4 linked regions of the Alligator mississippiensis genome follow. The protein of the gene in region 1 purifies or fractionates together with the protein of each later gene. This does not show direct contact. Links are inferred from orthologs where the notes say so. Each region holds a gene or a part of one and is shown on either strand. Other genes may lie near its edges. The genes, in order: PLK1, PRRC1, BORA and MASTL.

Region 1 (8,144 bases):
TAAACACTGCAAGGCTTTTTCTGGGCTGCCCAAGCAAAACACTTGTGCCCAGGGCATCGGGCCAACAGGTCCAAAATACAGGTGAGATGGTTCCTGGGGTAGCAACCTGCAAAGTCCACGGCCCCCGAATTCCCCTCTGCCCCCACACAGGCACTTATGTGCCCTCTGCTATTGTGTCTCACACGGATCAGGGCACGAGCCAGGACACACTCAGATCCCGGACATGCCACTCCTGGCCAGCTCCCCTGGGAGCCAACACGCCCCACACTCAGCTTTCCCCAGAACTGTAAAGCAGCCTGAGAAACCGGATGAGTCACCTGAGAAACTATTCAAAACAAAGGAGGCAGCAGGGCCGGTGAACTCAAGGAACCCATCCGTAGCGGGGCTACAGAGCCATCCCCGGCCCAGCCAGTCATGACCCTGTCCCACCTGGGCCAGCCCTTTGCTGGCTGAGGGGATGCAACAACCAGGGCTTCTCCTTCCCCAGGGAGGTGGCACGCCAGCGGGCTGACAATAAAGCATCTGCTTACAAACACGTTTCTTGCACCCACCAGGGACACCTCACCCAGGTGAGCACAGGGTCCACAAATCCCTGAGCCAGACACCAGAGCGCCCCAAGGGATGACAAGGTTGAATGGTCACAAACTCCTCTGTGACCAATTCAGGGTGGACATAAGGAAGAACTTCTTTACTGTCCGAGCCACCGAGGTCTGGAGTAGACTGCCGCCGGAGTTGGTGCAAGCACCTACCTTGAACGCTTTCAAGAGACATTTGGACGTCTATCTTGCTGGGATCCTTTGACCCTAGCTGACTTCCTGCCCTTTGGGCGATGGGCTGGACTCAATGATCTTCCAGGGTCCCTTCCAGCCCTAATGTCTATGAAATCTATGACAACAAGCTGACAAACACCTTGTGTTCAGAGCAAGAGAAACTCCAGCAAGAGCCTGGCCCATCCCTGGGCTGCAGCCGACCCCCGGGCAGGCCCTCCCACACACTGTCTGGCAAGGCCATGTGGGCAGGACACCCTGTTCCCATGGCAGATCCGCAAGGGAGCAACACGCAGCCCACTCTGCAGGGCTGGGGTGTGTATTCCTTTAGGGAGGGTGAATACATAACCCCAAGCAGGGAGAGAGAAAGTAGGCCACGCTGCCTCTCACTGCAAACCCAGGGCAGTCTGTGGCCCTGTCTGCAGAGCTGGACCACGGGAGTGACTAGCAGCCTGTTGGCAGGGGCTGCCCTGTCCGGGCCTGAAGGGGCGAAGGCTGGGCAATGCCACACATGAGCTAGGGCAGCATCCATAGCTCCCACGGGGCATCGCACCAGCTCCATCCGGGAGGAGGTTTGCTTTGCTGCCCCTCCAGCCTCCTGCCTGTCCTTCCTCAGCAGTTCTCCACCCAGCGCCTGCTCTGCTCCTTTCCCCTTGCGGGTTGCTCTGTCTCCTCTCCAGCCCCAACCCTCCGCTGCTCTCCCCCAGGCTCAGGTCCTTCCCCTAATGCATGCCAGGGCCCCTCGGGATCTCCGGAAGGGTTTGGAGGGATGAAAAGAGGGAAATCAGGCTGCGGGCTGTCAGGCCCGGGTGCTGCACTGCGCCAGTGCACAGAAACGTCCCGGGGGACAACGGGCGCACAAGGGACGCTCCCTTTCCAAGCCGGGCGGTGGACCCCCGCAGCAGACAGAGCGGGCAGCCCCACGGCCTCTTGCCAGTCACCCCCGCAGCGGGACCAGCCCGCGGAGCCCTGCTTGCGGGCGGCGGGGTCCCCTCCCTCGCCCAGCCCAGCGCCCCTGAGCCGCGCGCGGTGCCAGGCGGGCAGTGCCGTGCCAGGGGGCGGCGGCTGGGACGGGGCGGAGCCGGGCGCGGGGATAAAGCGGCGGCGGCGCCGGGCCGGGGCCGGGGCCGAGCCGGGCTGGAGATGGGGCCGGGCGCGGTGCAGGCGGAGACGAGCGTGCGGCTGGCCGTGCTGGGCGCGGCGGGCGTGGGCAAGACGGCGCTGGTGCGGCGGCTGCTGCGCGGCTCCTTCGAGGCGCGGCACCGGCGCACGGTGGAGGAGCTGCACGTGCTGGAGCTGGAGCCCGAGCCGGGCCGGCGGCTGCGCCTCGAGATCCTGGACACGAGCGGCAGCTACAGCTTCCCGGCCATGCGGCGCCTCTGCCTGAGCCGCGCCGACGCCTTCGTGCTGGTCTACTCGCTGCAGGAGCCCGACAGCTTCGGCGAGGTGCGGCGGCTGCGGGACGAGCTGCTGGCCGCGCGGCGGGACGCGGCGCCCGTGCTCGTCGTGGCCAACAAGAGCGACGCGGAGGCGGAGGAGCTGGCGGCCGAGGCGGGGGCCGCGCTGGCCGCCGCCGTGCAGCGCGACTGGGGCTGGGCGCACGTGCGGGCCTCGGCGCGCCTGGGCCACGGGCTGCGGGAGCTGCTGCGGGAGCTGCTGCGCCACGCGCCGCCGCCCAGCCCCAAGCCCGCGCCGCGCCGCGCGCACAGGGGCCCCGCCTGCGCCCTCTGCTAGCGCCGGCCGGACGGCGGGGGGCCGCCGGCGGCTCCCGGGACTCGCACTCGCACTCGAGCTGGGGTCATCTAGACCCAGCACTCTTTCCTGCCTGTGCAGGGGTCGGACTCGATGATCTATTGAGATCCCTTTAGACCCGAACATCTATGAATCGAGCAGCGCGCGCTCGCCACGGACCTCGCACCGGGGGCGGCGGGGCCGGCCCCGCGCCGGGCAGCGCACAGACTGAGGGGTCGGGAATAAAGTGTTGCACTGAGTCCTGCCTCCGCCCCGTCGTGTCCCCACGCCTGCTCCGGGACCACCGAGTCCAGCCCCGGCCGCCTCGGGGGCGCGGCGTCTCACCCTCGGGGGCGGCTTGGCACTGGACCCTCCCCGCGCGCACACACGCACACACATCATGGGGCAAAGCTGCCCGTGGCACCAAGCGTCCGGACTAGGGGCTGGAGGGGGTTATCGCTCCTGCCCGCCCGCCCGGCCCAGCCGGCCCGGGGCTGCGGGTCTGGGGCTATCGCACCTCCAGCCAAAACAGCCAGCGGCGCGGGCAGAGTCGCTCTCCCAACTCATGCCCCAGGCACAGCCCCAGCCCTAACCCTGCCCCTAACCCTGCCCTGGGCACAGCCCCCGCCCAAGCCCCAGGTACAGCCCCAGCCCTAACCCTGCCCTGGGCACTGACCAGTCCAACCCTAACCCTGCCCTGGGCACAGCCCCCGCCCAAGCCCCAGGTACAGCCCCAGCCCTAACCCTGCCCTGGGCACTGACCAGTCCAACCCTAACCCTGCCCTGGGCACAGCCCCCGCCCAAGCCCCAGGTACAGCCCCAGCCCTAACCCTGCCTTGGGCACTGACCCGCCCAACCCTAACCCTGCCCTGGGCACAGCCCCCGCCCAAGCCCCAGGTACAGCCCCAGCCCTAACCCTGCCTTGGGCACTGACCCGCCCAACCCTAACCCTGCCCTGGGCACAGCCCCCGCCCAAGCCCCAGGTACAGCCCCAGCCCTAACCCTGCCTTGGGCACTGACCCGCCCAACCCTAACCCTGCCCTGGGCACAGCCCCCGCCCAAGCCCCAGGTACAGCCCCAGCCCTAACCCTGCCTTGGGCACTGACCCGCCCAACCCTAACCCTGCCCTGGGCACAGCCCCCGCCCAAGCCCCAGGTACAGCCCCAGCCCTAACCCTGCCTTGGGCACTGACCCGCCCAACCCTAACCCTGCCCTGGGCACAGCCCCCGCCCAAGCCCCAGGTACAGCCCCAGCCCTAACCCTGCCTTGGGCACTGACCAGTCCAACCCTAACCCTGCCCTGGGCACTGACCAGTCCAACCCTAACCCTGCCCTGGGCACAGCCCCCGCCCAAGCCCCAGGTACAGCCCCAGCCCTAACCCTGCCTTGGGCACTGACCCGCCCAACCCTAACCCTGCCCTGGGCACAGCCCCCGCCCAAGCCCCAGGCACGGCCCCAACCCCTGCCCCTGCAGGAGGCTGAGGTTGGTTGCTTATTCCCCGTTTCTCATGGCTGGTTCCTTCTTCAAAGCTAATCTAGACGCAATACAAGTTTGTTATTATTAATTACACATCCATAAAGAGAGGACATTTAGGGGCAGCCCCGCGAGGCCGAGCCGCGCTTTGGGCCAGGCTAGACCCTGGTCGGGGGTGTCTGGGAGAGTCCCCCAGGGGTACAGTCACAGCGTGGGGTGGCCCGAGGAGGATTTCCAGCCGCAATCCCAGCCCGAAACCCGGTTCTTTACCCAATCCAATATACTTAGTTCTCGGCTATGGGGCTGGCAGGGGGCAGGGCCAAGCCGTGCTTTGGGCAGAGCTGTGCTCAGGGTCTTTGGGACAGTGCCTCGGTGGCATGGATGGGAAGTGTGGGGTGGCCCAAGAAGTATTTTGCCCCCTAATCCCATCCTCATCTGGGATGAGGCTCTGTACTTGATACATGATATTATTTTACATATTAATTATGGCTTTTAAGGAGAGGCTAAAGGAACTGGGCTGATTGAGTCTGGGGAAGGGAAGACCGGGGAATTTGATAGCAGCCTTCACCTCCCTGCCGGGGCTGCACAGAGGATGGAGCTGGGCTGGTCTCAGTGGGGCAGATGGCAGGACAAGGAGCAATGGGCTCCAGCTGCAGCGAGGGAGGTTGAGGTTGGATACGAGGAGAGACTCTCCCACTCGGAGGGCGGTGAAGCACTGGAGCGGGTTCCCCAGGGAGGTGGTGGGGTCTCTATCGTCTTTAAGCCCTGGCCGGGGTGATGTAGGTGGGGCTGGTCCTGCTCGGAGCAGGGGCTGGACTAGAGGTGACCGCCTGAGCGCCCTGCCAGCCGGAACTTCCTATAGGCTCAGCTGATGAAAGTCTCTCTCTTGAGGATGTGTCATTCATTAATTTATTGGGTCTAGATTCGTTTAGGAAAAGGAACCGGGACTAAACCTGCAGGGGCAGTGCCCCCGGGACAGGCGCGCACCGCCGCGCCTGTCTCTTTAAAAAGGGGCGGGGCGAGGCGAAGCGCTCCCATGGTGCCTTGCGGCGGGCGGCTTGGATTTTAAATCGTAGCAGCCAATCCGTGCGCGCGGGTTCGTAACGCTCCGGCCCCGGGTTTCAAATCGGTGCCGCCGCTGCCGCCGCCGCGCAGCTCGGGCCGGGGCCGCGGGACGGGGGACGGGGCCGGGGGCAGCGGGGCGGCAGTGGCAGAGGCAGAGGCAGAGGAGGCGCGGAGCAGAGCGGCAGCATGAGCGCGGTGTCCGCCAAGGGGACGCGGCCGCCCGGCGCGGCGGAGCCGGGGAAGGCGGCGGCGGCGGCGGCGGCGGGGCCCGGGGCGGGGGCGGCCGGGGGGCCTGCGGCCGCCGGGGCCAAGGAGATCCCGAAGGTGCTGGCCGACCCGCGGTCGCGGCGCAGCTACGTGCGCGGGCGCTTCCTGGGCAAGGGCGGCTTCGCCAAGTGCTACGAGATCACGGAGCTGGAGAGCAAGGAGGTGTTCGCCGGCAAGATCGTGCCCAAGGCGCTGCTGGCCAAGCCGCACCAGAAGGAGAAGATGTCCATGGAGATCGCCATCCACCGCAGCCTGGCGCACCGCCACGTCGTCGGCTTCCAGGGCTTCTTCGAGGACAGCGACTTCGTCTTCGTCGTGCTCGAGCTCTGCCGCCGCCGGGTCAGCGCGGGCGCGGGCGCGGGCGCGGGGCCCGGCGGGAACCGCCCATGCCGAGCGAGCGTTCCGCGCGGGGGTCTGAACGTTCCGCGCGGGGGTCCGAACGTTCCGCGGGCGAGTCCGAGCGTTCCACGCGGGTGTACGAACGTTCCGCGGGCGAGTCCGAGCGTTCCGCGCGGGTGTACGAACGTTCCGCGGGCCTTAAAGGGGCCGGGGGGAGGCGGGCTGGTAGCTGGTGCTCACGCTCCCCTCCACGCTCCTTCTCCCCCTTGCCCAGTCGCTGCTGGAGCTGCACAAGCGGAGGAAGGCGCTGACGGAGCCCGAGGCGCGGTACTACCTGCGGCAAACCATCCTGGGCTGCCAGTACCTGCACAGCAACCGCGTGATTCACCGCGACCTCAAGTTGGGCAACCTGTTCCTCAATGACGACATGGAGGTGAAAATAGGTACAGGCCTCCCCGCCCTGCGGGGCACGGGTTCTTCCTGGAGCTGTCGGAGCCCTGGGGTCCCTCCCTCCCGTGTCCGTGTGCAGCTGGGGTAAAGGGGTAAATCAGTAGCTTCTGCCACTGTGAAGCGGAACAGCAGCCTCTCACCCCAACCCTGGGCAAGCACGTCCCTCTGTCCAGGAGCAAACTCCACCAGGCACTCGAGATGGGGTCTTGGGAGGGTGTTGCTGCAGGTCCACGCAGGTGGCTCAGCAGGGCACGCCGCGGCCCTCGACATCCACAGGCAACAGCTGAGCCTGAAGTTAAGCCGATGCAAGCAAATTCTCTTCTGTCTGAATCTTTAAGGCGACTTTGGGCTGGCCACCAGGGTAGAGTACGACGGGGAGCGCAAGAAGACCCTGTGTGGTACACCAAACTACATTGCACCCGAAGTGCTGGGCAAGAAGGGGCACAGCTTTGAAGTGGACATCTGGTCCATCGGCTGCATCATGTGAGTTCATAGGATCGTAGGACGTGAGGGTGGGATGGGACCTCGGGAAGTCGCATCTAGTCCAACCCCTGCTCCAAGCAGGACCAGCCCCAGCTGCATCATCCCAGCCAAGGCTTTGTCTAGCTGGTGCTTAAACACTCCCGAGGACGGAGACTGCACCACCTCTCTGGGGAGCCTGTTCCAGCGCTTCACTACAGATTGGGGGTTACCTCTGGGGCATAAGTCCTGCAGCCTCCTGAACTCTCTTGCATGAACCCGTGACAGGCCGCTCTCTCCTCCGTACGCAGGTACACACTGCTAGTGGGGAAGCCGCCATTTGAAACCTCTTGCCTAAAAGAGACGTACATCCGTATCAAGAAGAATGAGTACACCATCCCAAAGGTAGGTGGGGCCTGCTGGAGGGCCCGTGCTCCCTCTCCAGCAGGGATGCCAGGGTGGGGCGCAAGCCAAACTCTCTTGCTTGCTGTGAAATGGTTCCTAGCACCCTGTGCACGCTCCTGGGAGGGGCCCTGGGTCTCTGGCTCCTCCGCTGCTGTCCACCAGGCTAGTCCATCATAGCACTGAGCCTCACAGGAGAGCTAGCTATATCTTGCCATCCTCAGCTCCTCCGGGCTCGTGCCCTGGTCTCTCCATGGCTCTGTTTGGAGCAGGAAAGCCCTGCATGTTGGGGGGTTTGGCCCTTCCACTAGTACAGAAGCACACCGGTCCCTTCCAGCCACAAACTGCCGGTCTCCTCTTTCAGCACATCAACCCGGTAGCTGCTAGCCTCATCCAGAAGATGCTGAGGTCAGACCCTGCCACCCGCCCCACCATTGACGAGTTGCTGAATGACGAGTTCTTCACGTCGGGTTACATCCCCGCCCGCCTGCCCACCACCTGTCTCACTGTCCCGCCGAGGTTTTCCATCACTCCCACTGCCCTCGACGCAAACGGGCGGAAGCCCCTTACTGCACTTAACAAAGGTGGGGCCCTGCATGGCAAAGGAGGGAGTGTTCAGGGCCTAGAAATGCCACGTGCAGGGCAAACGGTGTCTGTCCAGGGCTAAGAGCAAGCTACAGATGACAGCCAGAACCACTGATGAGCTTGCACGGAGGTCTGGGGTTCGTGGCAGTCTGGTGCTGCCCTTCCCTCCACAGGAGCAATAACTGACCCCCTAGCGGAGAGCCCAGCTCCTTGAGCTCTTGTCAGACAGTACCAAGGGGCTCACCCTGCCCCGTGGCACCCCGACAGCATGGGGCAGCCCAGGAGCAGCCCTCCACTCTGCCCTGGCTCCTGACAGTACTGATGCCTGGTTGTTTGGATGCAACTGGCAGCTCTTGTAGCCTCACGGGTCAGTGGTGGCAGCACTGGATCCTCATGTCTCCACGTCTGGAATGCAAGGGAAGGGCTGCCCAGCACCTGTTGCCCGAAGGGGAGACGCGAGCTTCCCTTCCACCGAGGAACCAGCCAGTCTTTCCCTGCCACTGGTAGCAGGGTGCAACTCTGCCATTCGCAAGGCCTGGGTTTTCATGAGGACCCTCCTCAGGTTGAGTTGTGGTAATCTTGGCTCTGGGGAGCAGGCATCACGCT
Region 2 (7,493 bases), on another chromosome or scaffold:
GAAAGAGATCAGCAAAGAGCAACAAAAGCGATTAGAAGCCTGGGAAGCAAGACTGCTGAGGAAAGTCTGAAAGAATCCCACAACTGTCGACGCTGACTTGGTGCAGTCACCTGGATGGACTGGCTGTGTTCAAGTCAGCAAGCCCGGATGAGCTGTACCTGAGGGTACTGAAGGAATTGGCCAGTGTCATAGCAGAACCACTGGCACGGCTGTTTGAGCACTTGTGGTGCTCTGGTCAGGTCCCGGAGGACTGGAAAAGGGCCAGTGTGGTCCCTATTTTCAAGAAGGGGAGGAAGGAGGAGCCGAGTAATTACAGGTCAGTTAGTCTCACCTCCACCCTTGGAAAGGTCTTTGAAAAGATTATGAAGGATCATATCTGTGGGAGTCCAGAGGGAAAAATAATGCAGCAGGGCAACCAGGATGGATTCGTATCAGGTAGATCATGCCTGACCAATCTGGTTTCCTTTTATAACAGGGTCACAAAATGCTTAGATGCAGGAGTAGAGGTAGATGTCATTTTCTTGGATTTTAGCAAAGCCTTCAATACGGTATCTCATCTCATTCTCATAAATAAATTAAGAGGCTGTGATATAGATGTTTACACAGTCCAGTGGGTGGCAAATTGGCTTATCGGCCACACCCAGGGAGTGGTAGTAGATGGGTCGGTATTGACCTGGAAGGATGCGAGTAGTGGGGTCCCCGCAGGGTTCGGTCCTTGGACCTATACTCTTCAATATCTTCATCAGTGACTTGGATGTGGGTGTGACGTGTACTCTGTTCAAGTTTGCGGATGATACTAAATTGTGGTGTGAAATGCACACTCCAGAGGGTAAGGAACGATTGCAGACGGACCTGGACAGGTTAGAAAAGTGGGCAGGACACAATAGGATGCAGTACAACAAGGAAAAGTGCAGAGTGCTGCACCCACGGTGCAAAAATATCCAGCACACCTACCAGCTGCGAAGTGACCCTCTCAGAAACACAGAAGCGGAAAGGGATCTTGGAGTCATAGTGAACTCCAAGATGAACATGAGTCGTCAGCATGACAAAATCATCACCAAAGCTAACCACACTTTATCGTGCATCAGCAGATGCATGACAAATAGACCCAAGGAGGTGATACTTCCTCTCTTTGCGACATTGGTCAGACCGCATTTGGAGTACTGCGTCCAGTTTTGGGCACCTTTCTTCAAGAAGAATGTTGACAGACTCAAGACGGTTCAGAGGAGGGCCACTTCTACAGGCAGGGGCTTACAGGACAAGCCCTATGAGGACAGACCGAGGGACCTGGGCCTCTTCAGCCTCCACAAGAGAAGGCCAAGGGGTGATCTTGTGGTCACCTACAAATTAATTAGAAGGATGCAGCAAGGGATCGGAGAGCTCTGTTCACCAGGGCACCTCTTGGGGTACCAAATAACAATGGTCACAAACCGACAGAGAGTAGGTTTAGGCTAGATATCAGGAAAAACTTCTTCATGGTAAGGGTGGCCAATATTTGGAATGGGCTTCCAAGGGAGGTGGTGCTCTCCCCTACCTTAGGGGTCTTTAAGAGAAGGCTGGATAGGCATCTGGCTGGGGTCATCTGACCCCAGCACTCTTTCCTGCCCAGGGCAGGAGGTCGGACTCGATGATCTGTTGAGGTCCCTTCCAACCCTAGCATCTGTGAATCAGGCCTCCTGAGCCTGGAGAACAGACAACTGAGTGGGTATTTGATAAGTCTTCAAAATACCTGATTATAAAAAAGGACAGAGAGAGGTTTTTCCTCTGTAGCTGTAGGGGACCAGAACTAGGAGCCATGGCCTCAAGTTGCAGCAGGGGAAATTTAAGTTGGAGATTTAGAGGAACTTCCTGACTGTAAGGATGGTCAAACATTGGGACAGGCTGCCTAGAGACTGTGTAATCTCCATCACCGGAAAGTTTCAAGAACGGGTTGGATGGACATTTGGCTAGAGTGGTTTAGTCAGGGATTGACCCTGCCTCAAGCAGAGGCTGGACTACATGCAACCTCCTGAGACCCCTTCCAGCCCTCCTCTCCTGTGATCCTACTAGATCAGTCAGACACGGGACCATGCTGCAAAAGAGGCAGTGAAGCAAGCAGCATCTATTCAAGTTGCTGCCGGCATCATGTACTTAGAGAGGACTTGGCTCCCAGGGCTGCCACAGCTATCCTATTAGCAGCAGTTTATGCACTTAATCCAAGGGGTCGGACTAGTTGTGACCTTGTGATGTCCCTTCAGACCTAACCAGACCGTGATCCCAGGACTTGTGAGCAAAACCATCCCTGGCTGATGTGTTAAGCCAAAGACTTCCATGCGCAGCACCTCAGCAGCCTTTCAGGGGTGCTGCGGGGGGATGCCACGTTAGTCCCATGAGCTGTGCAAACAATTCCCCGCATAAACCCAGAGGTTTCAGAATAAGCCCCAGCACTAAATAAAGGCTGTCCTGCGAGGGCTTTCCAACTGCCTGGCAACAGAAGAAAGGCTCTAATATTCCCACCCTGGTCAAGAAACGACTGCAGACTAAACCGGTGCGGTGTGGTGCGTGGGTGAGGCACTAATCTATGCGGAGCGCGAGTCTAAACTGTGAAGAACCACCCGCCTTCGAACGTTGACGCGGGGGGGCGCTCTGCACGCGCACAGGGACCCCCCCCTTATGACGTCACGCCGGGGGTTTCAGCACGGGCTCGCAAACGCAGCCGGCGTCCTCGAGCTCGGGCATGCGCAGTCAGCCACGACGCGCGCTGGAGCCACCAACATTCGCAGAAGCCTGAGCTGACCACCCCCTCCCGCCGGCGCGGACTACAACTCCCATGATGCCCGCGGGTGCTGCGCACGCGCCATGCAGCCGACGGTCGGGCTGCCACGTCTCCGGCTGGCGGCGCGGTGGTGCCCAGCCTGGCAAGAGGAAGGGGCGGGGATCTGTCCCGCAGCCCAGCAATGTACACCGCCGACCCGCCCCAACAACCCTGATCACCTGGGCGCCGCCGGCTCCGGGCCGCTGGTTGCTTGGCGGGGCTCCGGCTGCGCTGCTGCCGGCGTCCGCCCTCCCTGCCCGCATCTAAAATGGCCGCGGCGGGGGGGCGGGACGCCACCGCCCCCTGCCACGTTCGCCCGGCAGGGGGAGGAGCCGCACTGGCCCTGCCCCCGCCCCCAGCAAGGGCAGAGATCCACGTGACCTGGCCGCGAACTGAGGAGAACGCTCCTGTGAGCTTAGCTGGGGCCGGCCGCGCCTGCACAGTGGGCGGCGTAGGAGCGGTTGCAGGCCGCTGCTAAGCAGCTCAAGGGCGCCGCGGCGCATGCGCGAGTTGTGCCGGGGGTGTCACCTTTGGGGCCGTGCGGATGTTAGTCATAGAGCCCCTGCGTTAGGGTTGGGTTAGGCTATACCAGAGTTGATACGTGTATGATCGTTATCCTATTTGTACAATAATTTCGACCTCTCTACAATGTATGATCAGTAACAGTAAAAGTGTTAAAAAGCATGCTTTTTAAAAGAACTACACATTTGTTGAGCATGAACTTCTAAAAAAGAAGCTTTTCCTATTAGTACAAAAAAAAAAAAAAGCAAACTCATAACTCAAGTCCAATTAAAATTTGACTAGAGTTTCAAAGATGTTAACTTTTGGTTTGAAAAGAAGCATTACAACAATGTATCCCCCAATTTTTTTTTTTTTTTTGCAGAAATTTATAATCCCCTGAAAAGAAAGCATTTCAAAATAAAAAATACCTGTCATTTATTCAGATTAGCCATACAGTGTTGCTACACTTAGCTCCTTTGGCCTGTTCAGTTATGCAAGGCTATTCCTTGCAGGTTGTTAGAAGAAATGAATGATAAAGATGAGCATTCCTTTAAAGCAGTCCCATTAATTTACCCAGGATATACATATATATAATCTCTTGGTTCACTGAACACAATAGAATTAAAACAGGAAGTAGTTTCAAGCCTGCCTTTCCAGCTGGCACTGCACAAAAAGCATTGGTTTGTCATTTCCAGGAGACCCATACCTACCAGTACTTTTCTTGCTATGTCCTGCTTTTAGGCTACTTTCTCCTGGTTTTCTTCTGCTCTGTCTGCTTCCCTTTTTACTCACATATTGACAAATAAATGCATCCAAATTAATAGTAGCCATTACATTTGCATTCAGTCTAGCCTTCTATAGTAGCCTCAATTTTTCTGCTATCACTAAACAAAGGAGCATTTAATTGTTGCATCATTTAGCGTAAATAAAAGAGCACTAGCATGCCCATCAACTGCAGTGAAGTTTGAGATGGCCCATAATTCAACACCATACTTTCTGGGAGCCACTCAGCTTCCACTGTAAAAAGCTTCCTATTGCCTCAGCTATGCTCTGTGTACCAATGAACTCCAAAATGGCAAAGCCATCTATGACTCACTCAAAATAGAGAATTATTTTTCAAATTACAATTGATACATACTTATTTACACATATTTATATACTGTTTTTCTATCAAGACATTTTCACACCAGAATCCCAACAGATTTTACAGCTATTCACATCTCCTGGGAACTTTTCTCTCCCTGCCAAATTTCAGCCGTCCAGGAGGGGCCTCTTCATTGGGCCCCTAAAGAGCCTTTATTGTTTCTTTGGAGTCTATTGACTGGATCAGACTCTCCTTTTCCTTCTAATGAAGAATGCCTCTCTCTCAATAGCTTGTGTTTTTATAGCTATATTATCAGTTTCTGGGACAGACAACCTGAAGTCTTGCCAGTCTAACAGCTTTTCAGGTGTTTTTTATGGTTAACTTTGGATTTCGTCTTTGTAACCAAGTATAATCAACCACACAATTTCAGATACCAGGAACAAAACTAGGCTGTGTCTTAAGAATTTCCCTGTATGATTGTACATCATATGGGCAAACTTTTTCCATTTTGGATTGTAGATTTCCTATTGCCCAACCAATACAAAACTCTTTTCTTCTTCCAGAGTTTCATATAAGAAATTCATTGGGGTCATTTGCTCATGTCTAAGCTTCAGAATAGTGGGGAACACTTTGTACTCTTATTGACTGATGTTCCATATGCCACCAAAAAGAATGGGGTATGTGTGGGAAGATTGATGATACCTGTCCAGGGGAACTCCCCGGTCAGAGGGGCGCATCTGGCAGTAGCAGCGTGGCCACGCTCAGGAAGGGGCTTCTGATCCGCCCAGGGTCAGTCTCACCAACTCACCAAGTGAGCTGGATTGGCCCTACCTGGACTCCAGGAGCTATTTCCAGCACTATGCGCTGACAGGGAGACAGCAGGTGAAAAGCAAAAGACGGGGCCAGCAGACAGGGCAATTGCTCGGCTGCCAGTCTGCACTGAAGTCCCCAGGAATGGAGCAGCAGACCCACAGGGTCTATAGAGCTCGGAGGATGCAGTCAGCACCTAAGGTGCCGCACTCTCCATTTGAAAACATGAGAATAACACCGGGCGAGTATGTACGGAAAGCCACCCCTGTTAGAATGACGTGCATGCATGGGCACAGCACATATTATCCTCGGAGGGTCTACCAGGTCACTGTGTTGAAGACCACTAGAGAAATGCCGGTTGGAGTGGCTCGTGACTTACAGTACCTGATGATCTTAGGTCGAGACTGGAGGGAAATTTATGAAGTATTACACATAGTAAGAGAAGACAGGATGGGAGAAGGTGACCCGTTCGGAAGTAAGGAAGATGCTCCGGCCATTGAGAGTTTTGAAGTAGAAGGCTTGTCCAACAGTAAGGCATTCCGAAGAGCCCAAGCTGAAGAGCATGAATTCCAGGCCATAATAGAGACTAAATTGGTTAAGGAGAAAGAGGATGTGGTGAACCCAAGACACTATGCGAACCTGCCGAGATTCAGGTTAGGAGAAGGTTGCTATATCGGATAAAAAAAAAGGGGTACGAGAGGGGGAGGAGATTCCTCAGCTGTTAATACTGCATCAGTTTAGGGTCCTCTACTAAGGTTAGCACATGAAAATCCACTGGGTGGGCATACGAGATGCAGCAAAACCAAGGCCCGACTGACGAAGTGGTGTTTCTGGCCCAAGATTTATGACCAGGTGGAGAGATTCTGCCAGGCTTGCCTGGCCTGTCAAAAGGTAAGCTGGAACAAACCAGCCCAGGTGCAGTTGCAACCTATGCCCATAGTAGACATACCATTTTCTCATATTGCACTTGATGTGGTGGGACCCCTCCCCAAGTATTCAACAGGGTATCAATTTTTTTTGGTAATCATAGATTATGCAACCCAGTTCCCAAAGGCAGTCCCCATGCAAGGAGTCACCAGTCCCCAAGTGGCGGAGGAACTCCTTAAAGGGATTACCCGGGTAGGCAACCCCAAATAAACTGTTACTGATCAAGAGTCTAATTTAGTGTCGGGGGTCTTTCGGAGTCTGTGTAAGGTATTGCAAAGTAAGCAGTTATATACAGCCATATACCATCCTCAAACCAATGGCCTAGTGGAAAGGTTTAACAGGATGCTGAAGAATATGCTGCACCTGTGTGTTCAGGCAGAGCCCCGTAAATGGGACCTTACTATCCCGCCTTTGTTATTCATGGCACGAGAGGCCCCTCAGTCGTCTTTGGGGTGTGCCCCGTTTGATCTGGTATATGGACACCACCCAAGGGGCTTGCTAGATTTGGTGCAGGAAGTTTGGGAGGAAGCCCCACCAAAGGGCATCAATAATGTAGAGTATGTGAGAGAGCTGAGGCAACGCCTGTAAATGGCGGAAGAACTGTCGTGGGAACAACTGAGGGCAATGCCGAGGGCTCAAAAGACCAACTATGATAAAAGGACTCAGGAGAGAGATACTCAAATAGACCAGAAGGTACTGGTGTTACTCCCAGATGTGGAAAGTAAATTCCTAAGGTGTTGGCAGGGCCTCTTTGAAGTAATTCGGCAGATTGGCCCTGTTGATTATGAGGTTTTCAAGCCAGGCCATAAAAAGGAAAAGCAGATATACTAAGTTAATTTGCTTAATGAATGGAGGGGACAAGAGAGTTTGTTGGTTGATTCCTCCTCACTGGACGAGGAGTTCAATTGGGACTTAGGTGAGGACCTGGGACAAGATGCGGCAGCCATAAAGGTCCCAGTCAGGACCCAACTGAGCACTCGGCAACAAGATCAGTGGGAGACGTGGCAAGGGGATTTCAAAATGTTTTGAGATCCCAGGGTGTGCCAGAGGGATGATCCATTAGATAATAACTCCTGTTGGGCAGATTGTGAGAGAAAAATGGAGGAGAATCCCATATTATAGATATCAGGCAATTCGTGAGGAAATTACTAAAATGCTAGAGCAAGGCATCATTCAGGAGTCCCGGAGTCCTTGGCGCAGCCCCATCATGGCAGTGATTAAGCCCAATGGGTCGTTGCAGCTGTGTGTGGACTTCAGGAAAGTAAATGCTATATCTCGCTTTGATGCCTTTCCCATGCCCCAGATTAGCGAGTTGTTGGAGAAAGGGGGACAGGCTAGATTTATACTTAGCAAAAGGGTATTAGCAGGTACCATTGA
Region 3 (7,644 bases), on another chromosome or scaffold:
AAAGGAGCAGACAGTGGAAACAGCAAGGCAGAGTAAGGTCCTGCCCTCTGCTCTTACCTGGCACCAGGGAGACCAGTGGTTCTTAATCTTTTTAACATCAAGGCATGCATAGTTCAGTGACTCTGCTGGGGTAACACAATTCTCAAAGATTATGGAGGGGTGGCTTGAGGCTAAAAAGGCTGAGATTCACTGCTGTAAACACAGAGCTGCTACACCAGTCTCAACCATGTGCTCCATGCCCCAGGCTAGAGTGGGGATGGAAATGGAAGGTAACTGGCAATGATGGGGAAGGGGCGGGTAGACGTAGCAGCTCTGACACTGACTCTGGGTCAGAGCCACAGCAGCTGCCTGCTAACAACAGCTCCCCACCACCCCAATGCTAAAATCAGAAAAAAAACCCAAAAAACCTTGTCTTGGATTTGAGCAAATCCAGTACTATTCACCTCATCTTTCACTTAAAGAACTGAAGCAAGGCAAAGGATAAATTCTGAAAAGCTGATAAATAATTCAGGAACCTTATTTTAAAACCACTCTAGTGTTCATGACTGAAATTACTGGGAGTTAGGATGATAGGCACGTTTGAAAATTCCTCTTGGTACCTAAATACCTTAAACATCTGGGCCTATTGTAGCCTGTTTCTTTGAAAGTCAACAGAACTAAGGTCTTCACTGCCTAGGTAACTTAAAAAAAATAAAGACAAACAGACTTAGGCACTTTCACAATGTTACCCAAAACAATATGTCAGGGGCACACAAGAGCCACTTACACGAATGAAATTCTACAGGTGTCATAAGTTTTGCCAGCAAAGTTCTCCAAGACCTAGAGTTATCCTTGCAGGAATGCTCAGAACTGTCACAAACATGGCAAAACTGGATAGCCTGGTGATTATCTCCAATTTAAGCATGTCAAGATTCACAAACTTGGGTATTCCTGTGTGCAAGTCCTCTGAGGGGCCTGGATCCTATACATGTGATAGCACTTAATTCAGAAAGCACAGCAGACAGCTACTTAAATTAAAAAGCAGAGCCAGAGGAGGCAGTGTCCACCTTTTATGCAATATCCTAATACAAGGGTGTCCAATTCAAGGCTTCTGGCTGCCCAGACAATCCACCTCTGGCAGAAGGGCAATGGCTTGTTACAGCTCGGGAACCCAGAAGGTGAATTCTGCTGTTGCTCACCTTCCCTGCACTGCCCTCCATTTTCTCTCTGCCATGAACCTCAGTTGCCAATGGTAACCCAGAATTCCCTAGCAGACAAAGATGTGTGCAGGGAGCAGGCAAGGGCTGAGTGGTGGTAATCTCTGACTTCCAGAACCACGTTGACAGTGCCGCTGGAACCCAGCTCAGGAAAGTGGTACTTCAATTTATGATTTGTTCTTACTCAGTAAGTGTCTTTGGTTTCTTGAGAACAGTAAAACATTAAAATAGAAGTTGAATCAGATAACCATTGAATCAAGAACCAATGAATAGAAACTGGAAGTATAATAAAATGTTAGGTTGGAAATTTAGAGGAAAATCTCCAACCATGAAAACTAAATAGCTCTGGAACAGCCTTCCAACAGCAGTAATGGGTATGAAGTTCTTACTAGGTTTAAAATGGAGCTTAGGCAGTTTATGAAAGTGACTGTATGACATCATCAATTTTGATATTAGGGCATGGAACATGATCAACCCTTCTAGACCTATGTTCCCAACTAGTGTTTGAAACCCTCTGTTGCCACCCATTCATTCAAGTAAATGTGAAGTGTTGCTTCTTATTCCCCTCAAACAAGAAATTTAACTCTTAAACTAATTAACAAGTTTGAAGGAAAGAATATTTAGCAATCTCTCTCTCATATTTTATACCACCATTGTGAGCTCTTCCCTAAACTATTGTTTACAAAGGTCTTTTCAATAGGCCTATCCAGTTTCCATATGTGAAAATTACTAATGGACACAGTTGATGAACCTAAAAATTCTTCAGCCATTTTCCTGTAACTCTTACTGCTGACAGGAAAAAAAAAACAACATCAGAGCAACACTAACATCTATTTTTACTCAATTTTTTTAAAGTACCTTCAGGTTCCATTATTATTGTATCTAATTATCCCACTATTTCACTATGTCTAGAGAGAGATTAGAAGAATTCTCTAGACAAAGACTGGGTACTGAAGGGTGAACCTCATTCTGCCCCATTTGTGCCTGGTCACAAAAATAAAAGAAAAAAACCGACTTGTAACTAACTGAAATGGGCACAATAAAGTTGTGCTGCAAAAAACAAAATAGGACCCGATTCTGAAAAACAAAATAGTTATAAAGAGACAATATCTCAAGCTCACCCAGCATACTTGATTTGATCAAGCTACAGAAAATCACTACCTTGATTACATAGTGGAAAGAGCTTATTTACATTGTTTAACAGAACAATGAACAGAAAAATTCAGGGTCTGGACTCCAGGAATACTCAGATTAGTGTAAATGTAGTTTGAATCTGAGACAGACAGGTGTACAGGCCTGTTATAACAGTATAAGGCTGCCTGGAACAGGTCAAAAGTGGTGCTTGATTTTCCAGGTACCTTTTGAACCAGTTCACTGTGATATTAGATGTGGATACAAAATGTTCCATGACACCAGTTTGGTCAGTCCTCCATTAACTCCTCATTGCATCAACCTCTTTCTCCCAAACTCTATTACCTCTGACATGTCTCCCCTTGTGTTGGCATTTTCATCACTGAGCTCTTTTGCACTGCTCGTTCAACCAAAGCTATCCAACAACCAGCTGAATCTGCACTCCCTACTCCACTGTGGCCCCTCATTATACTTCCCCAGGCCCTAGGAAGTCAAAAGTGCAAATCTAAGCACTTTCCCCCCCTCCATTCCCCCAGACCACCCCAAATGAGGCAAGCCCATGGCAGACTTTGCACCACTGCACTTGGGTTTACAGAAGGGAAAGCAGAAAAGGCAAATGCCCCTAGCCACAAGTCCCTCACCATTTGGACCCTGAAGAAAAAAGTCCAGATATAGTGGGCTCATTCCTGCCTCCTGGTGATGGAGTCACAGCACTTCATAAGACCTGTCAGTTACTGGGTCAATTACATACTTCCATCTTACCCGGCATCCATCTGCCTGACCAGGAAGAAGGTTCTGGCCCAGAGGACCCCCAGTGATTGCAAGGTCATCCTCCTGCCTCTCATCCACCTTGTTCAAGGGCCAGTGGGCACTGTCCAGTGTCCTGTGCTCACAGCCCCCTCTTGGTGCATTTGTTGTGAACAGAGATCCTGGTTTTCTCCGATTAAAAAAATTCTCAATTTTCAGTTTAAGACAAAAGTAACCCAAAATCCACATTTTTCCACAATTAAAATGAAGCGCCACTAATATCTAGTGGATTTGGTCAAGCTACAGATACATATCTATATATTAGTGGCTTTTCATTTTAACCACAGGAACATGTGGATTTTGAGTTACTGCTTTAATCTGAAAATTAGATTTTATACTTTTTAAATCAGAGAAAACCAGGATCCCTAGCTATGACCCTCTGACCTTCACTTCCATTCCCGCTTTGTAATTAGCTGGTACCTACCTAATACCCCTCTTGCGTTAGCAGTGGCTAACCCTTGCTCCAGGACTCAAGGCCTAGGACACCACCGTGGGTGTCCAATAGGCTTGTTTCATCCACGTCAGCCTCTGGGCAGTGCTGCGGGCTCACTCCATGGGATCACACGGGGGCCAAGGGGCCCCTTGGAGAACTCGTTACTGGCCTCTGCCCTTCCCTCCTACCCCCATCAGTGTTTTGGAAATCTGTCGCTGAACACTAAACTGCTCCTGGGCATCTAACGGCGGGGCTGTTCTCGTCTTGACCCGTGCTCGTATTTCTTTCGCACAAATCAAGCACGGGAGGAAAGTCTGCAGGCCCACCGCGCGGGGAGGGAGAGCGCGGGGGGGAAACCAGGGCGGCGCTCGTTTCCTCGGGGGAAGGAACAGAGCTGCTCCTCCTGCTGCCGCAAACCCCTGCTGAGGCCGGTCCAGCTCCGGACGCTTCGGACGCCAAATACGAGTGGATCCAACGGGCGCCGCAGCGAGCGCCCGCGCCCAACTCACCGTCCATGGTCTCCCGCACAGCGTTCAAGTTGGCCGCGTTACTCGCCATGGTGACAGACAGCGTGCGCCTAACCCGCCACCCGGAAGCACAAACCCGGAAGCGGAAGCCCCTCTTAACAGGGAAATACATAAAACATACATTCAATTGTATATATTTATTCATATAATATATATTATATTTTCTATGAAAATATATTATATTTCCTTGTTAGGAGGAAAAGATAAAATATAATTTATTTTTATATAAAACAACAAAACTAAAAAAACCCCAAAACAAAACAACTCTCCCCCCCCAAAAATCCCACCTCTCGCCGGCGCATGCAGTTACACCTCAGGAGCTATTTCCGTCCCTGCCCGGCCCGCTATGATGTTTCAAATACACCCCACCTACTCCTCCGTGAGGAGGGTTACTCGTTCGAATTTGTGAAGCGAGCCCTGCGCCGATTGGGCTGTTTGAGAGCGGTTGCCACGCGATTGGTCAGGCAGGTGAGGCGGCGCTCGATGATTGGGTAGCGGCGGAGCGTGGGGGCCGGGCCAGTTAAAGAGCTGCCTGGGGTCAGGCAGAGGCGGTTTCACAGGGATCCGCGGGCGGAGGCAGGTATCGCTCAATTTTTGGGTCATCTTTTTTTTCCCTCTCCCTCTACACAGGCCTTCCTGGGCTAGTGCGGGCTAGAGCCCCCATCCCCCCTAGGCTGATTATTTCCTTGGGGGGGGGGGGGGATATTGTCTTTGCGCATGCACAGAGCGGGCCGGGATTAGGAGAGAATCGGGGTTCTGAGAGGTGCTGACCCTACGACCGCGCATGCGCAGAACAGGCCAGAAGTGGCGCATCGAGGGGCTCTGCGGATGCAAAGCTGGAGGAAGGAAAGAGCCTCGGGGTCCCTCGTCCCTTCTCCCTCCCTCCCCCTCCTTTCCTCCCCCACTGCCCCTCCAGGTTTGGTTGCATATTTCACTTAATTTCCTAAAAATAAAGTTTCAGTGGCAATAGTGTGGCTTTTTTTTAGCCTGCCACAGGCCCTGTGCATCATGTGTCACTTGACTTTCTTGGCCAGCTTGAAGGGAGAAGAAAAAGTTCTTACTTTCCGGGATAAGCATACAACTAAGGCAGTGCTGGGGCCATGTGCCCAGTCCAGATATTTCTCATCTGCCCAATCTGGTGTGGTGGGTTAAAGGGCACTCATTGGATTCAACCCCTGTCTGTGGTAACGGGGCTAAAGCTGCTCTCTAATCCTGTGTGCTGGCTCCAGTCGATGCTAGGGCTGTGTCATCTGGCTTGGGACTCTAGTTAATGCAGCCACTGCTTTCCCCCACAAAATTTCCAGACCTGGGGGAATCGGTATCAAGGGCTGGGCGGGGCTTCAACTGACAAGAGTGCACAAAGCTAGTCAAACACAGCGTGGAGCGGAGGAGGGTTGTTACAGGGTCTGAGGTACCCCAATGGTCGCAGCAGCCTCTGGACTGACTTGTCTTGAGGATCAGTATTTATTGCATATAATGCACATCCCATTTTCCCTGAACTCATTTTTGTGGGTGGGAGGGGGGTGGAGGATGCAGGTTTTATCCAAGAAAAGGTTCTGTCTTCTCTGGGAGAAGCATGGTTTTGAGTGGTACCTGTATACCGTTATGCTTTCCATATACAGCCTTTCAGTAAAGAGGTTTCTTCAGACACTTGAGGCCAGATGCTGTTCCGTCTGTTTCAACAGTCCCTAGGCGTGGTTCTCTTCCACTGTGAAAGCCCCAGGAAAACTTAAAACCGTATTGGATCCTTCTCCACCTCCTTGTTGCTACTTTTTTGTGATGGAGTCTTAAGGTTAAGATCAGTGCAGTTACAAAGCAAGATGTATGGGTTTGGATGATTGGCCAGGAATTCAAACTGGGTGGAATAGGATCACGCTTAGGGTATGAACAGGCATCTTGTATGTCCTGGGACCAATTGTGCAGGTAATTGTCCTGGAACAGAAAAGTCATGTGATAGCCGTGTACATGTTGCCCTTCCAGTTGGAGTTTAGTTAGTGGCTGAACGCATGGCTGCTTTTCTGGCATTGATCCAGTGATGCAATCCCCACATGTCTGTTGAGATGCTCTTCAAAATATCCTGGGGCATATTTAGCTATCTTATCTAGTAAACCTTTTTTGGGGTCTGTACTGGGTCAATGAAAATGGCATCTGAATGATGGATTCACTGAGGTTCACCTTCAAATTAAAACCAGGTATAGAAACCAGGTATAGAGTCATTATCCTGTGATAATTACAGTGTACTTGTAGCTGGCCTAAATTTATTGAGCAGTTAACCAGTTAATTGCATGATAACTACCTTGCACATGTAGCTGGTCTACACTTATTGCACAATTAACCAGTTAGTTGCATAACATATGTCTCATGTAGCAGGGGCCTAATTCTCTTTCTCTGATTTATCTGAAACCGATCAGAAAACTGACCAAATTTAAACTTCTTGTACTCTCTTCAGTCTGACTAGATTTTGAATTGCTAATGTTTCTCGAAACGATCGTTTCTTACTGCAAAACCATGGGGTACTGAATGATCTAAAATTATAACTTCTTATTTTCCTTCTAGGTATTGTACTGTGTTATGGGTGATAGAAAAGAAGCTAAAATGCATATAACACCGGAAACTCCAGGACGGGTTGCTGTTCTGAACCCTTTTGAAAGTCCAAGTGATTACCATAGTCTGCAGGAACACGTGGTTTCCAGTCCTTCTGTCTTTAAATCAACGAAAGCCTCATCGGTAAGATTTAATCCTTAGTACATGAATATGGAAGAAATAGCAATACTTCCACATACACATTTTTCACACTTCGTAAAGTACACATGATTTGTAATACAACTTGAAATATTTTTACAAGAATTTAAACATAGTTCCTTCTGTGGAAACTTACAGTATTACTATGGTTGGTTTGTTTGTAGTGCTGTGTAACTGTTTTGAAAGTCTTGATGTTACTGCAGTTTTAGTGATTTTAAGAAAACCCAGCTAGTTGTACATGACACTATTCTAATAGTATTGTTGAGTTAAAGATGAACAATACTGGTTAGCTAGGTTTTCTTTAGAGAAATGCTGTCTGCAGTAACACTTGTTCCAACATTTTGATTCAAGTAGGCTGGGTGTAAGTTTAAACTCAATAGTCATAATGCCCCCTACTCCATGCTTTATCTGGCCTTGTTTAAGGCTTGAACTCTCTTCTATACAGTGGCCTAGTTTCAACACGGAGGATGGGAAGTGTCTCTACCACAGAACATGCAGAGTCCAGTGGTTACCTGAATAACTCCATAGGGAGGTAGTTGATGTAGGTTTGAATCTGGGTCTCTGGTGAGGTCTGTAGCTACTGGGCTATCACATAAGATGGACACCACTAGCACCTTCTTTCCCTTTTTAAAAAGAAAGCAGCCATAACTGCATTTTTGTATGAATGAAGCCTTGTATACGGATGCATGTTAGGTGTGCTCTGAAGACACAGTTCATGTCTATCAGGGGACTTAGGTAGGGGACTTTCTAGGTTTTGAATTTTAGCTGGTCTTTGGTATGATTTTGGCCCTAGTTGTTCAGACAGGAA
Region 4 (7,875 bases), on another chromosome or scaffold:
GGTTGGTTTGCAACCAATTTATAGCTCTTGGACTAGATTTGGGACTTTTTATTGCAAACCAGGGAAACATCTTATTTACACACGTTTAACAAGGATTATTTTTTCAGTTTCTGATTTTACATTTTAATTATGCTAAACTAGAATAAATTGTATATTTTAACAAGCAGCAATTATTTTTACATGTGATCTGTCTCAAATTGCTGTTCACCTGGAAACTAAAATGTCACACGAGATAACTAAAATACCACTTTTTTTTAAAGATCTGAACTATTTTTTGTCATAATGCAGAGACCTAACTAGAGGTTATGCATGCATAGACAAAGCCCCTCCCCAAACACCCACTCCCCAAACAGTCCCCAAGCCCTGGGCCTCCAACCTGACTGGCTGCATACTAGCCACGTGCATGTGCACATGCAGAAGCACACGTGCCCAACTGCCCCAAGCAGCTCCTTGTAGGCTGGAATGCTGCCAGCCTGCAAGGGGAAACCTATGCTTTCCCTCATTTTTCTGAGACTTGCTCAAGAGCCTTTCAAATATTGTTGCAACTCACTTTTGGGTCGCAACCCACAGGTTGAGAAACACTTGTGTTAGAGGATAGGTACAAACAAAAGGAGTTTCTTTTTAAAACATTGAGTTTTAATTACCCTGGAAGGTGGTTAGAAATGGAAGAAGAAAGATGAATTAGGTAGGAAAACACACTATAAAAATATAGCCTTGGTTTTAAAGGTAAACAAGTTCTCTCACCAACTGACAAAATAATAAGGCATTAAACAAACTAAACACCTATTTAGTCATTCTAGTCAAGCTGTAGTCACTCTCTGATCATTGTGCAAGACAAACTGACACACGGGTGTCAACATATTAACAGGACACAGCGGTGAGTACAGAAGACATTGCTGGTGGGTACATAGCCCTGAATTTCCATAAAGACATGAAAATTGGATTTAGAAATCTAAATTAGGTATTTCTGAAAGTTTTAGTCTCAGTGAGAATCAGCATATTTATAAACCCATATTTTTATCTTAAGTCGTTCCTGAATTTTGTTGGCATGACTGAGAGAGAACAGAAGGAAGGTGTAATAGGCACAATCAGGGTGGTTTCCATGAAATGACCAATCATTATGGACTATTTTTTACGTTCTAATTACCCATCAAGAAGTTTTTCTGTCTATTACTTGTTAAAAGTGCCCACAGAGTTTGGTAAAGATAAACACAGACTTGGCTATGCACAAAAAGGAGCCATAAAAAGAAATACCACTTAAATAAAAAACAATATTTAGTGCAAAAAAAAAAACAAAAAAACACCCACTAGTCAAAACTATTATAAGCATACTAATAATTGGCAAGGAAAGTAAAATCAAGGTTATTACAAACAAGCTTTCTTTTCATCATTTTACAAGGTCATCAAGAAAGTTTGAAATACAGAAGCTAATCCTTCCTCTTAAACTGCCCGAGACACATACTAGTCACTTTGTTGATCTTAACAAGCGAGGACTTTACCTCTTATATCCTGACAACTGCTACGGTACTGTAGTACATCTCTTTTTCACAAAGTTCTATTTGTTCATAATTTATGCTTTTTTTCCTACTGTTTCCAATACCTTCTCAAAATCTAAATTTTAGACTCCTGCTTATGACTTTGTTTACAAGTTAGCATTATTGTCTTAAAGGCTGCGTCAAACCCAGCGTTGTTAAATCAAAGTGAATCATGACAATGCATCACACAGAAAAGGAGGGTTTTAAAAATAAATTTCAATGGCCTTTTATTACCACATACAGAATTTAGAAGATAAGCATATCATCTTATGCACGTTTAAGATGTATCAAATATTACATGCAAGTTACTTGACTTTTTTTTTTTTTAAACTAGTACTTTTCAGACCCAATTCAAACGCAAAAAATGCTGATCTCTACAAAATTCCTATTACCTTACTACTCTGGGCATCATGTTCAGGGGCTGTATCCTTTTGTAGAGAGTGAATAGCTGCTGTGCTGGCAGAAGTGACTGAGCTTTTGGGTGAATGGAAAGCATTGATGAGGTGACTCAGAGGAACAGTAACCTGGAAGAAATTAAAGATTAAATCAATCTAAAATTAAATAATGAAAAATTAAATGTAGAACTTTCACTAAGTCAGGTATCCAGGTTTGTACTTTTACCAAGACACCTAAACGCATTCTCATGACAGACAGTGCACAAGTATAACATTCTATATTTTATATGGTACTTTTCAACTGAAAATCTCAGTGGTTCACTGAGCACAGGGTAAGAAGAGAAGTTGATTTACAGAGGAAGAGAAATAGAATAATAAGTATCCAAAACAGCTTAGCTGCACTAAGTTTGCCAGAGGAAAACAGGATCCAGGTTCCATGACTGGATCCTAAATGATGTAATAACATTCACCAGAACCTCAAATACAGAGTTAAGAGACAAAAGTTCAACTTGCAAACAAAGCAACAGCCTCCATTTGTATTTGAACTAGTCATTAGTTTTCTGAAACAAAATTACTTATTTTTACATAAGTTTTCTCAATTACCATGGAAAATGAAGAAACAATCTATTCTTTGTCTTTAAGCAGTAGCTTTGCCACTTTTCTGATGGTACCAACTTGTTTGTCATATTAGCGATAGCTGATACTACAACACTGACTGTTGTACCATTTGCGTGTTCTTGCAGGTGTAGGCGCAAAGAGCACATCAACATACACATGAATCGCAAGGCAGGAAGAAAACCAAGTCACAGGACTAGTATGTATCTGTTGTGAAAAGTATTAGTCTCAATGCCTTATATAATGAATCCTGTCCTGCTTGGATCCATGCTACAACCTCAAACAACTACCGTATTTTCGCGCATATATCCCGCAGGGTATACACAATTTTACCCCCCCAAAAATGTATGGGTGCGGGTTACTGACAGACTTTTTTTCCCCCACAGGGCCCAGGCAGGCCGGGCTGTGCCACCGCTGCGGGGGCTGGGGCGGGCTGCGCCGCCTTCCCGCTGGGCCCAGGCAGGCCAGGCTGCGCCGCCATGACCGCAGAGGCCCAGGCAGGCCGGGCTGTGCCGCCTCCCTGCTGGGCCCGGGCAGGCCGGGCTGTGCCGCCGCTGCCACGGGGGCCAGGGCCAGGGCCAGGGCAGGCTGAGCTGCGCTGCCTCCCCGTGTATACGCTGCCGCAGGGAATACACAGGTGCAGCGCATACACGGATTAATTTACAAAAATACAATTTTCCGCGGGTTATACGTGGGTGTGACTTATACTCATGGGCAGGCTATATGCTCGAAAATACGGTACTATTCTGCCTAGCGGGCAAGAGATCCAAGATATAATCTGACATGTGCTGCCATGGTTGAGTCCTACTGCAATGGGAAGAAGTTAGCAATATCCTTGAGAAATAGAGACAAACTGTCAGTTAAATCACGCTTCAATTTTTTACCTCTGTTGTGACACCTAAATTACTGTAACTGACATGAAAGAAAGGTATTTTCAGTTTCATTAAACAAAATCCCTGGGGTTAGGAAATTTCCAATCTGAATGTGTCTTGTACACAGCAGTTAGAGAAAAAGTACAGAGGAAGAGGAAATGGAATTCTAAAATGACAAAAAAAAAAGGACCAAGAACCTTAAACATAAAGCAGTAGCAAATTTAGACTTTAACCTGACACTGCCCCTTTAAACAGTTAAGAATTGTGTGTTTAGCTTATTACCCAGATTATATCATGCCAACTGGTTCACGAGAAGAGGTAAATCTAGCAGAAACTAAGAAAGCCATTAGAGAAGCACCAGTTTAGTATAAAGTACTCTTCAGCAGGTCTCAAGCCAGCCAGTTTATTTATAACGCATACATAGCAATTAAGGAATCGGGCCAAGAGCCAGCATACGGTGCTGTTAGCAAAACTAAAACGGCCCAACAACCAGTGTGATGTTGTTATGACTCGGCTCTTACGTAGCAGGAACTAAGGAAAAATGACGCCAGCGTGACGCACTCAGGCAAACATCCCCACGTCGGTGCATTCAAAGCCGAAGTCACTTAGTCGGGGAAGTCAGTGGGCCCAGCAGTAGCCAGGCAAGAAAAAAAAACCCTGGTGCGTCACCCCGCTGGCGGAGCACAGGCCGGGAACGAGACTTGATAAGCAGGGAATGCGGGACCCGACGAAGCCCCACACGCCCCGCCGGGAGGGACCAGACCGCGGTGGAGGGGGAAATAGTGAGAGACAAGTTGCCGCCCCAGCGGCGACGGCGGACAGCCCCCAGGAGCTGCCTCGGTGCCACCCCTAGCAAAAGCCACCCTGAGATGGGAAGGTCCCAGACGCGGCCTCCTCCGCCCTCGGGCGCCGCTCCCGCCCTTCAGCCCCCGGTGACGGCCGCCCAGTTGCTCCCCCGCCGAAGGAACCACCCAGCCCGGGTCACACCTGGGGCTGCACGCTGGTAGACAGGGAAAACATCCTTCTCCCGCCCCGAAGCGCTGAACGTCCGTAGAGAAAATGGCCGCCTCCTGCTACCGACAAAGCCAGGTCCTGCAGCTGCCCTGGAAAATGGGGGAGCAGGAGCCGCTTCCGGGTCGCACATATTCCCCACTTCCGCCCTCCAGCTACTGGGCTCTATAGCAACGACTGTGTGTGACGCAGTTACGTTCCTCTCGCGGGGAGCAAACCATTCTTTGGGCGGGGGGGAGGTTAGGAACAAACCATTCTCCCCACTGCGCCTGAGCGTGTTGCGTACGTCACTCGTGCGGGACGCTGTCACGTGGCCGGGTCTCGGGGGAGGGTTGGGGGAGAATGCGTGGCGGCTGGACACCAGCTTTCGGGCTGGTGCAACTGCCGGCCCCCCTTCCTTCGTCCGCGGAAGCCACACGGTCCCGTATGCAGGCACGCAAAGCCTCGGCCGGTTCCTGTCCTGGGGATGGGGAGGCGTACACGCGCGTGTGAGGAATACAGATAGCAAGGGGCCGTTGGGTCACTCCGGAGGCAGCTGACCGCCACGCGCATGCGCACCACTTTTCCCGTGCTCTTAGGAGTGCTCGCGAGGCTTGGCGGTACTCGGTCTTTCGTGGCCGTTGGTCGATGACGTCAGCGGGGGCGAGGTTTAGCTTTGAATTGGCGCGGGCTGTGGCCGCCAACAGTAGCAGTGGCCGGGCCTGGCCAGGCCATGGACACGCCGGAGGCGCGGGGGGGCGCGAGGAGCATCTCGGTGCCACGACCGCCTTCCATCGAGGACTTCACCATCGTGAAGCCCATCAGCCGCGGCGCCTTCGGGAAGGTGTACCTGGGCCGCAAGGGCGGCCGGCTCTACGCCGTCAAGGTGAGCAGTGGCCGGGCCCGGCCTGGGGCGTCCGTGGGGAGGCCTTGGACACGCTGTTCAGTGTTACAGGTGACGTAACGATCATATTGGTGCCGTCATTTCGACCCCTGCACGGTGCAGTTCAACCTGTACAATCATTTTTGCGGCACCTGCTTGATGCAAGCGCATGCAAGACCCAGGTCACTCTTGGAGAGTCGTAACTGACTTCTGGGTTTGCTTCAGCACTTTCTTATGACAGCTTGCATAAAAACAAAAAATGCTTCAACTTTAACCCAGTTCTTACTCGCTCACTGGCAAGTTATAGCGAGCAATATAAAGTAAATAAGAGGGCTTGTTTGCACAGTTGTTTGCATAACTCTTCGGTGTATTAAGGTTCCCATATTTCCAGGTCCAAAAAAGAGGACACCTGTCGGGGGGGGGGTAGGATGGGGGGTAGGCAGTGACATGCTGGTGCCCTGCCCATTCTGTTGCCCCTCACTGCCGAGCTCCAGCCCCCCAGCCCGGCTGCTGCCTCTTACTCCTGACCCACATTACTCCTGACCCACTGACCCCAGCCCTGCCAGTGCCCCTTACTCCAAAACCACAGTACTTTTCCCCCCCAGGCCATGATAGTGCCCCTCACTCCACTGGTGGGAGCAGGGGCAAGGTGATCGGAGGCAGCAGGTAGCACCACATGAGTCTGCACGTGCCAACACAGCTGCAGGCAGGTACCTTCGTGCCCCTTGCTACCTCCGATCGGCCTTCCCCTGCTCCCACCAGTGGAGCAAAGCAAAACCCCAGACATTTGGTCAAATTTAAAAAACCCACCCACGCAGAGATCAGAAGGCTCAAAAAGAGGACATATCCAGGAAAACCCTGACAGATGGTAATCCTACAGTATATGGTAGTTTTTTCAACAAATACAATAATTTTGAGCTTCCAGTATGATCATTTCATATTTAGGACATGGCAATGCTATGCCCTTTCAGGAACAGTTGCTTCAAGCCAATGAGTGTCCGTCCCCACCCCTGCTGTTGTACAGTACCCTGAGCTTCCTGGAGGCCCTTCCAAGGGTGCCACGGGGGCCACACACTGTTGGCTGGTGTCGTCCTGGCTGTGGGCAGTCCCTGGCTAGGAGGATGCTCTCCTGCAGTTCATGGACTGGTCTTGAGGTGACTTAAGAGTCCAAGCCTTGGGCCACAGCCCCATTCATGGGATTTGCAGGCATTTTGGCAGGGGAGGGGGTGACCAGCCCACCTGGATTCCTATCCTTTTCCTTCCTCCCTTCTCTCATCTGCTTTGTGGGCGAGGCGCTTGGCCTCCCAACCACCTGCCACATGATTGAGGTTGTGGTGTTGGAGCTGGTCAGCAGCCAGCTTCTCCCAGCTCTTGGCATGGGCATCTATTTCCTTGAGGATGCCTTCAGTGTGTCCTCATACCTTTTTCTCTGGCTGCTGTGAGATCTCCAACCGTTGCTGGAACGCTTGTTTTGGGAGTGCAGAAGTTGGGCATCATCTGCGCAGGATGTTGGGGCTTGAGGATCCTCAAGTGCTGTTAACTCTGCCGAGGGTTTACCAGATTCACCAGGTAAACTCAGTGGTTTCATTTTGGAATCCATGGCCTAAAAACATTGGGCTCTGCGCTGCTTCTGAGCTCTTTGCAACAGAGGAATTGTGGGGTTTTTTTGACTAGGGAAAAATAAGAGGAAGTGAAAACAAAGTTGGCATTTTCAGAGGGATGTCTTGAGTTGAACCAGGAGCCCTTTTGGTTTAAAAGGTGGAGAATCACTGATTTAAGTGTCCCCTGTGACAATGAATAGAGCTTTGCTTCTACTTAAAATAAAAGTACAGAGTCAGTTTAAATCATGTTTACATCAGAATAGGTAGTAAAATGAGAACCTCCCATGTTTTTGTTTCTGTATTGCATCTTTATAGTCAGTCATCTAACTGGGCCCTCAGCACAGGTAGGAGAGAGAAACTTTCTCAAAGGGAAGTGTAAATGTGAAGCCACAGTTCAGCTGGGTGTAGGGGTGGTTTTCCTCATTTATACTGATTGGATCTTACATTGACAAGTGCTCCTCTAATCAGCAGACAGGATATGAAGAGTATGATTCTTGCAGTGCTGAGAAATTAGCACGGAACCTTCCAAAATGAAGCTTTTGGAAGAGACCATCTTTGCTGATGGAATATATACAGAGACCAGCATTGTTATCACTGTGTTTAGGTTGTTCATAAATGTAGCAGTGTTCAGCTTTCAATTAAAAAACAAATTGAAAAGTATATAAATGATTATTCAGTGTATGAACACATGACATTTTAATTGGTTTAATTGTGGCTTAAATCTGAAGCAGATGAACATACAAGGCTGTTTAACTGGTTTAGAGCCACCTGGAATGGTTCAAAAATGTAGTTGGAAAATCAAGCATTACTCTGAACTGCTTCACTTTGATTTGGTTCAGTGTTACTTATGAACACCAAGCCTTCCCTGTTTTCTGTCTTGCTGGTCCTCCAGGCATTGCACACTGCATTCCTCCTGTCCAGCAACCCCAGCCCCAATTGCTGCAGTTTGACTGCTCTGATACACCTGTTACCCACTTTTGTTGG

Evidence for each region.
Region 2: the proteins of PLK1 (region 1) and PRRC1 purify together in Homo sapiens (affinity purification with mass spectrometry; 3 studies listed by BioGRID and IntAct, counting the BioPlex papers as one, with this or other methods). This does not show direct contact. The link is inferred for Alligator mississippiensis from reciprocal best matches to the Homo sapiens genes PLK1 and PRRC1.
Region 3: the proteins of PLK1 (region 1) and BORA purify together in Homo sapiens (affinity purification with mass spectrometry; 12 studies listed by BioGRID and IntAct, counting the BioPlex papers as one, with this or other methods). This does not show direct contact. The link is inferred for Alligator mississippiensis from reciprocal best matches to the Homo sapiens genes PLK1 and BORA.
Region 4: the proteins of PLK1 (region 1) and MASTL purify together in Homo sapiens (affinity purification with mass spectrometry; 3 studies listed by BioGRID and IntAct, with this or other methods). This does not show direct contact. The link is inferred for Alligator mississippiensis from reciprocal best matches to the Homo sapiens genes PLK1 and MASTL.

What each region holds. Positions count from the first base shown.
Region 1 is NC_081836.1:58,695,354-58,703,497, forward strand, and holds the start of PLK1 (serine/threonine-protein kinase PLK1), read left to right. Parts: upstream 1-5,109; 5' UTR 5,110-5,222; coding exon 5,223-5,642; intron 5,643-5,916; coding exon 5,917-6,085; intron 6,086-6,430; coding exon 6,431-6,575; intron 6,576-6,862; coding exon 6,863-6,956; intron 6,957-7,317; coding exon 7,318-7,537; intron 7,538-8,144. Other genes in the region: ras-related protein Rap-2a-like, read left to right, coding at 1,911-2,501. UniProt on the Homo sapiens protein: Serine/threonine-protein kinase that performs several important functions throughout M phase of the cell cycle, including the regulation of centrosome maturation and spindle assembly, the removal of cohesins from chromosome arms, the inactivation of anaphase-promoting complex/cyclosome (APC/C) inhibitors, and the regulation of mitotic exit and cytokinesis.
Region 2 is NC_081826.1:216,292,774-216,300,266, forward strand, and holds the start of PRRC1 (protein PRRC1), read right to left. Parts: upstream 3,084-7,493; 5' UTR 2,974-3,083; intron 1-2,973. UniProt on the Homo sapiens protein: May act as a regulator of the protein kinase A (PKA) activity during embryonic development.
Region 3 is NC_081824.1:390,151,491-390,159,134, reverse strand, and holds the start of BORA (protein aurora borealis), read left to right. Parts: upstream 1-4,596; 5' UTR 4,597-4,674; intron 4,675-6,650; 5' UTR 6,651-6,665; coding exon 6,666-6,821; intron 6,822-7,644. Other genes in the region: MZT1 (mitotic-spindle organizing protein 1), read right to left, coding at 4,077-4,125. UniProt on the Homo sapiens protein: Required for the activation of AURKA at the onset of mitosis.
Region 4 is NC_081828.1:189,513,347-189,521,221, reverse strand, and holds the start of MASTL (serine/threonine-protein kinase greatwall), read left to right. Parts: upstream 1-4,733; 5' UTR 4,734-5,140; coding exon 5,141-5,293; intron 5,294-7,875. Other genes in the region: ATP-dependent zinc metalloprotease YME1L1, read right to left, coding at 1,928-2,059, 4,405-4,437. UniProt on the Homo sapiens protein: Serine/threonine kinase that plays a key role in M phase by acting as a regulator of mitosis entry and maintenance.